Kluyveromyces lactis: one gene and its partner. Each later gene encodes a partner of the first gene's protein in a complex. Links are inferred from orthologs where the notes say so. Each region holds a gene or a part of one and is shown in the gene's direction. Other genes may lie near its edges.

Region 1 (4,105 bases):
TTCTGAAAGGCATATACATAAGAGAATGATGTCAATGCCCATCTTCAAAAATGAACCAACGACTGGAGTGTTAAACTTTTCGGCTTGGCAAACATATAACGGTCAAAATCTATCAGGGAATCACCCAGGGTCTGGAAGAAAACTCACGACGACGGGCCCTTCATCGTTTCCACATGCAGTAAGGAAACATAGAAGAACACATTCTACAAACTCTGCTTTTGGTGTCATTGATTTGAACTCCATCAATCAGGTTGCTTTTAAACAGTCGAATTCAAGAGGTAGCTCTGCTATTGGAAATAATGTTAATGATCATGGGGATAGTCCCACGTCGGGAAAAAATAATTCAAAGGTAGAAAAAGAATCTGACCCATCCTCCGTTGGAACAAATGACGATGCTTTCGGTGATGATAGTAGCAATGACACCACTATCGATGATATCAAAAAGATCTCACCTTCTCCTCCTCGAACATTATTGAAAGGTCCTAACTATGTGGACAATTTATTAAATACCTGATTGATACTACCGGATTAAAGATGGTTGGAAAATTGATCTATATAAGTGCACTCATTGTACTATTTCTTCTTGTTCTGCTAAATATTCTATTTCGGAGATATTCAATGTTTCCCATTCAACCTCGCCAGTCTCCTCATTCATTCCTGAAATACATTCAAATTCAATGTCTGATTTTGTGATCGATTCAAGCTCTTTCTTTGCTTGAAGTGCTAGTGATTGAATCACATTATCGTTTCCCTGAGAAATGAACCATGCGCAAAGATCATCCAACAGAATTTTATTGTAAACGTAGTAGACATCATGGTATCGGAATAGTTCATGGATATCCAATAACGCTTTTATTACCAAACGTTTCCCTCCAAGTAACAGCTTGATAGCCAACTGCCATGCTTTGATACAGAGGTCATAGTTACGATGCAACGGATAGCTGAGAGCTCTTCTAATACCTGTTACTATGGTACCTTTGATTTGAGAGAAATGTATTAAAGACTCGGATAGAAGAATCTGTTGGTCCAACATTGAGATCTGTGGGGTCAATTTACCGATTGTCCATTGGCTTTCAGTTGTATGTTGTCCCTCATTTTCGATCTGCTCAAAAGTGTAAGAATATAATATTGATAATATCGTTAGATATTGGCTTTTAACGTCATTTATTAAGTACTTCTTTTTAGGAATGTGGTCTTGCATCTGAGTCTGTTCCGCTTCGGTGAACTCCACAGGAAAAGATACATTTCTTTCCTTCGATTCATTGTCTGACCTTTCGAACCACTGCTGATACCTTTCGCAAAGAGGAGGAAGGTACCCAAGCAATCTTTTTATGCCATTAATCTGGATTTCCTCTTCATCGCCCTGTTTTATGGTTATATATTCAGCAGCATAGTACTCTGGATCAAATTTCAAATTTTCCTTCTTCAATCTTTCCTTGACTCTGTTCTCGGGAGAAGTATGTTCAGGATCATCCAATTCGTTAATGTCATTGCCATTTGCAACGGACATAACAATATATCCTGTATAAAGATTATCGAAACCGTATTTCGTTGTTGGTGTATTATCTACTTGAACCTCTTGTTTGATTTCCCAATCAAAATGCTCTCCTTCTTCTCGAATATCAGCAATTGATTCTTTCTCATTACTAATTTCTTGAATCAACGGCCCATCTGTCACTTTAGGTTCATTCTTTGCTGCCAATAATTTGCTAGCGAGATCTAAGTCCTTGAACTCTTTACCTTTAACTGCCTTCAGAATCTTACAATTGATGCTCTCTTGTTTGGAATCATATTCCACTGTATTTAAAGTTTCATCCTCCACCAATTCATCTGATAATCTCAACCTCAAATAATACGGCGACAAATGGAAGATAAACATACAACCATCTATTACAACCTCTACACCAGCACTGTTAAACCTTATGCTTGACACCTTAATTTGTACATAAATGTATTCATCATCCTGAGTGACAGTAAATCTTGGAGTTATCATTAGGAACACTATACCGGTAAAATACGAAACTCCGGTACCAAGTTACTTCTTGTATAGTTTCTGAAATTAATGGGTGGTCAAATTAGCAATTCAGATAGTTATGTTTATAGCAACTAAAAAGGACATATAATCCCATCTCAGTGGCACATACCTTGACCTTTTAGAATTACAGTCATCAGAAATTACTTAGACGATTACAGAAAAGAAAGAAAAATTTCCAACTTTGGATATTTGAAAAGAATTACCAACAGATGAGATGAGATGAGTCGGTTTAGGTTTTACTGTTCCAGACACCATTTAACTGCAAGTGTTGTGCTCCAATTGCTAAATAGCGCCTTTTGTGATGACTATGGGTGAAGTTGAGAAAAAGCCTAGAAGAAGGTTTGTTGGTATCAAAAAAGCTGCAGAAGAAAGTGATCCCTCGGGATCAACCACTGAGCTAGTGAAGAAAATCAAGCCTAAGACTAACATTCGTCATGCTATTAATCAGATACCGCCGGAGCTTTTAAATGACGAAGAGTTAAATGCTGCTATCAAGCTTCTTCCCTCGAACTATAACTTTGAAATACATAAAACTGTATGGAACATTAGAAAGCACAAAGCAAAGCGTGTTGCTATTCAAATGCCTGAAGGGTTGCTCATATACTCTTTGGTGATAAGTGATATTTTGGAGCAGTTCTGTCAGTGTGAGATTGTGGTTATGGGCGATGTTTCTTATGGTGCATGCTGTATTGATGACTATACAGCAAGATCGTTGGATTGTGATTTCATTGTCCATTATGCACATTCCTGCTTAGTTCCGATCGATATTACTACTATCAAGGTACTTTACATCTTTGTCACTATCAATATTGATGAGACACATCTAATAAAGACGTTACAGAAGAACTTCCCAAGAGGTTCACGGATTGCTGCATTCGGAACAATTCAGTTTAATCCAACTATCCATAGTATGAAGGACAAATTGTTGCAGTCGGAGGAACACATGTTATATATCATCCCCCCTCAGATCAAACCACTTTCGAAGGGTGAAGTTCTTGGGTGTACTTCTGAAAGACTAAACAAGGAACAAATAGATGCGATGGTTTATGTTGGGGATGGTAGGTTTCATTTAGAATCGGCCATGATTCATAACCCTGAAATTCCTGCTTTCAGATATGATCCCTATAATAGAAGATTCACCAGAGAACGTTACGATCAGAAGCAATTGGTAGAGGTAAGAGCATCTGCCATTGATAAAGCTCGCAGTTCGAAGAAAGTTGGTTTGATACTTGGCGCGTTAGGTAGACAAGGTAATCTAGCAACAGTTGAAAATCTCGAAACTAAGCTCAAGGCTTCCGGAAGGACTGTAGTAAAGATTATTCTCAGCGAGATTTTCCCACAAAAGCTTGCAATGTTTGATGATATCGATGCCTTTGTTCAAGTTGCCTGCCCAAGGTTGTCCATTGATTGGGGGTATGCTTTCAATAAACCATTACTAACACCGTACGAAACTAACGTGATGCTTGAAAACGACCGGATGTTCAATGAGAAATATTACCCGATGGATTATTATCATATTAACGGATATGGTAGAGGTAAGGTCCCAAACCATGACGACGTAACTATCTAAGTAAATGCATTAATTATATCGAATTACAATCTGGGACATCACATTTGTTTATTTAATTATTTATCTTCAACACCTAGTAGGGTGGAAACTTCGTTAGTCGTAAAGTTTAATGTCGACATTATCATTTCTTCGTCTTCCGGATATATTTTGTTCAAAACGCTTTTGAACACTTTATAGAATTTGATAAAATTTCCGAAACAGGTGGACACAATGTCCTCTTCAACCGCTGGTGGCATCAAATTGAATAATTTTACATCTTGAAAATCAGAAACTGCTAATGGAAGATAGGTGTTCAATTTTTCGTGGATATTGTCGTGAATAACTGCTAATTTCATGATTGGGTTCTCAACCGCCGAAAGATACATGTCGTAATCAAGCTCATCTTGCACAGAAATAATTGGGAAAATCATGTTGAAGAGATTAAAGTACAATTCCATACCCGTTGATTCGAACAGATAGCTATTCATTGTTTCCTTTAACTTGGTAACGCATAATGTATA
Region 2 (4,049 bases), on another chromosome or scaffold:
GTACTGAAACTGAGAAAGTTATAAGTAAAAATACTATGACTTATTATATTTTATACATTTGTAAAGATATAAAATGACCAAAAGAACCTTTGGCTGTGATAATAACGGTTAATAAGGAGTTTTGATAAATTGGCGTATATGTTAATTTGCGAAGGAGTTGACTTATTTCTTAGCAGTCAATCTTCTCAAGTAGAAGGCCAATTCTTCACCTTCCAAAATGTAACCATCACATCTACCGGATTGACCTGGTCTGGAAGAGATAGCAGCGTACAATCTACCAGCACCGAATTGAGAGTCAACGGCGTGTTCGATCTTAGCTTCAGCAGCTCTGGCAGCCCACTTTCTTTCAGTGTTCTTAGAGGTGGTGGCGGTTTCTTCTTCAGCCTTAGTGTTCTTCTTCTTACCCAAAGATTGACCGTAGTGAGATTCGTACCATTGTCTGAATGGGGTAGCATCGATTTGAACGATAGCTGCCTTGGTCAAAGTGTTAGTTCTAACCAATTCATTGTTGGATGGATGGTAGACGACACCAGTGATTCTGGTCTTTCTAGCGACACCTTCGGAAGCCCAGGAGAAGTTACCAGTTTCAATTCTCAAAGCTCTGAACTTCTGGTTACCACCTCTGGTTCTAACAGGATGAATTCTCTTAGTACCGATCTTGGTGTTGGCAGCTTGACGGCCTAATTCGAACTTTCTCTTCTTTCTGAATTGAGCACGTTTAGCACCGGTAGCAGCTCTTTTGTGACGAGAATCACGAGAAATACCCATTTTGCTTTACTGTAGATAAAAGCTTTAGTAAAAGATGTTAGTAAATTTTTCTTTCGTTTGATTGCCGTTAATTAGCTTTTGCTTGTACTTTCACAGAGTAGTTATATAAGATAACTTCAGATGCCACCAACGATGTTTTCTCTTTGAGTTAATTACTTCACAAATAATTTCGCCTTCTTGGTTGTATACTATCCCGTACTTCCCACCTTCGATATTAGAAAGCCGCTTCTTTACTCGTATGAATCTCCTCAGTTCGCTAGTTTTTTGCTACACCATAACGGACTTCCCACTGATTATTCCTTGGTAACTGTCATTCACCCTCAGTGATCTAAAACATTTTCTAATTCATTCCATCAATTCAAAACTCTTTCAAATATATCTAAACATGTAATCGCACTGTTCTCTCATTGTATTGCATCCGCTGGTTACTCCACAAAGCACAATAGTACCCACGTATAAAACATACTATTTGACCTGGCTTCTTGACCTCTTCTTGTATTTCAAGAACTATCCAATACAATAACTATAGAAGGTAACAGTATATAACAGTATACAACAATTTTGTAACTTTTCACTAGATGGAAATCAAAGTTGTTCTTTCGACAAAATGGACCACACTGCCGAGTATTGGACTGCCAGAGGGAACCAGCTCGCCCAGAGAAAGGGACAGAGAAAGCGTGAGAATGGCCAAAGGTGAGCTGGAGGAGAGACTCCTGGGGAAAGATTCTGCCTAGGTGGTAGATGGAATGTTGCTCTCTGGGCAGACGGGCAGGGATATCGACGGCAGCCAGAAACTGAATGAGTGGTGTGGGCCAGAGCATTCTGAGGCCAGAGGGGGTTTACACCGGTAGTGAGTGGCTTGGGACGGCCTGGCTAACCATTATGGTATTTGTCTGTTTTAAAAATACTTATTACCTTTTTAGGTATTAGTGAAAATAAATGAAATTGAATTATGTATGGGTGTAAAATATATGTCTGGGTTGTGATAGTCCCGAAATATCACGTGACTTCTTCAAAAGAACCAGTCCTTCTTTTCCCGGTTTTCTCAACAAGTTAAAAAGAAAAACTGAAACTTTTGACATGAAATGACAATTGAGTCAATCATTACGCTCATCGCATTATGTTTAATACCTATGTCTTCATACCCAGTGCATTCAATATTCTCTAACCTAAGGGTACGGAATTGGAATAAACTTTTGGTCAACCTGGTGCTGGCATATTGAAGAGAGAAGTGACTACTAGAAGTTAACTTAAAGAGAAAGAATTAATTATTAATAGTATTAGAACAATGTCCACTTACGATGAGGTTGAGATTGAGGATATGACTTTCGACCCAGATACACAGATATTTACGTATCCTTGTCCCTGTGGTGACAGGTTCCAAATTTCCATTGATGATATGTATGACGGAGAAGACATTGCAGTTTGTCCCAGTTGTTCGTTGATGATCCAGGTGGTTTTCGACAAGGAAGACTTGGTGGAATATTATGTGGAAGCAAATCTGGAACCACCGGGTAAAATTGCTGTAGCTGTGTAAAATATTTTTGCAGCATCACCCTCGTCATTTATCTGCATTAGTTTTGCATGGTTATACAGAGTGTGTTCTTTTAGTTTGTTTATGGTTTTCTCACCACTCTTCAAGCACCGCACTGTATATAATTTCATTCTAGGGATGATTTATCAATCCTCTGGCAAGCTCCACTATCACACTTCCATCCGCACTGGACAGTCATTAAATTCAGTTCTTACCACATCATGCATATCGTTCACAAGTCCGTACTATATACCCCGGATCGTATATATGTTCTCTGTTTTAAGCATTTTCTGTATTATCTATTGTTTCTCGTATTAAACTAAATTTCATTTAAAAAAAGCGTCAATTAAAAGAATTAGAACGGAGTTTACACAGACTTCCGCTACCATGACCCTTAACACAAGGATGCTTACCACTTCAAGCCTTTCTGGATAAATTCATACTGCTGTAACTCTTTTACCATGGCGGAAGAATTGTTAAATAAACACGATCCGAAGTTGGCATATGTGGTGAAATATAATCATGATTCACCAAACCCTAGGGAATTGGCTTCCCCTTTAGAGATGAAAAGAGTCGCTAGGCCGCTAAGACATATCCATTATGTGCCGGTTAAATCGCTAATATTCTATTCCAAAAATCATCCTCCTCAGTTCTCCTATGAAACAAAGATAAAGACTCCAATATCTAAAGATGTCATTTCCGTGCAAGTGGAATATGTCGGTTTAAACCCAGTTGATTTAAAGATATTCAATAGTTACACTAGGCATATGAACTATGAAGTTGGCATTGGAAGAGAGTATTATGGAAAAATCTCAGAAGTAGGCTCAAATTTGGCAGATACGTGGAGTGTCGGTGATGAAGTTTGCGGTACTTTTTGGCATCCAAATTTAGGTAAAGGAACTTGTGAATCTACCATTTTGGTTGATCCAAAGGTTGACGTTGTTTTACCTAAGCCAGTAAACATCAGTACTCAACAAGCGGCATCTACTTTTTACTGTCTTGGAGCCGCATTCAATATCCTTGACAAGCTTGATCAAGAGGGGAAATTAAATCAAAGCAGCAATATATTGATCAATGGTGCCTCTACAATGACCGGAATATTTGCACTACAACTCTTAAAGTTTCATTACAGGATATTGAACAGAATCGTGTTAATCTCATCTACCTCCGGTATGAACTTCATTAAGTCAAATTTGCCTGAACTAGTCGATGAATTGCTCTTCATCGACTATGCAGCAACGAACGGTAAAATCTACAAACCATTAAGCGATCTAGTGGCAAGCAATGAATTGGTTGAATATAACAATGAAACTGGAAATTTTATAACTCAACCATTTGGCCAGGGTAGCTTCAATTTAGTTCTTGACTTTATTGGAGGGTATGACATTATCGGTCACTCTTCTTCCATTTTGTCCAAAGATGCTACTTACATCACAACCGTTGGCGATAATAAATCGAATTACAAGAAAGATACTTTTAATTCATGGGGTACTGCAAGTTCTAATATTAGAAAGCTGTTCGGACAGGTGCTATGGTCTTTCGATTATCAAATGTTTTATTTTGATCCAAATGCCAAATTAGCGACAAATGAATGGCCAAAAAAATGTCATGAGCTAATAGAAAGTGAAGTTGTCAAGTTTATTCCTGTAGATAGGGTATATGATTGGAAAGAACATCAAAAGGCATTTTCCTATCTGCAGACAGGCCGTGCACATGGTAAAGTTGTTTTAAAGGTAGAGAAGTTTTG

The links.
Region 2: DPH1 (region 1) and KTI11 share a complex: the UniProt entries of both Saccharomyces cerevisiae proteins name them as parts of the 2-(3-amino-3-carboxypropyl)histidine synthase complex. The link is inferred for Kluyveromyces lactis from reciprocal best matches to the Saccharomyces cerevisiae genes DPH1 and KTI11.

The regions. Positions count from the first base shown.
Region 1 is NC_006042.1:372,254-376,358, forward strand, and holds DPH1 (2-(3-amino-3-carboxypropyl)histidine synthase), read left to right. Parts: upstream 1-2,336; coding exon 2,337-3,605; downstream 3,606-4,105. Other genes in the region: BOP3 (Bop3p), read left to right, coding at 1-514; Hsp90 cochaperone SHQ1, read right to left, coding at 566-1,993; Golgi transport complex subunit COG6, read right to left, coding at 3,662-4,105. UniProt on the Saccharomyces cerevisiae protein: Catalyzes the first step of diphthamide biosynthesis, a post-translational modification of histidine which occurs in elongation factor 2.
Region 2 is NC_006041.1:1,815,697-1,819,745, reverse strand, and holds KTI11 (Kti11p), read left to right. Parts: upstream 1-2,056; coding exon 2,057-2,305; downstream 2,306-4,049. Other genes in the region: RPS8A (40S ribosomal protein eS8), read right to left, coding at 163-768; KLLA0_E20417g (uncharacterized protein), read left to right, coding at 2,764-4,049. UniProt on the Saccharomyces cerevisiae protein: Required for the first step of diphthamide biosynthesis, a post-translational modification of histidine which occurs in elongation factor 2.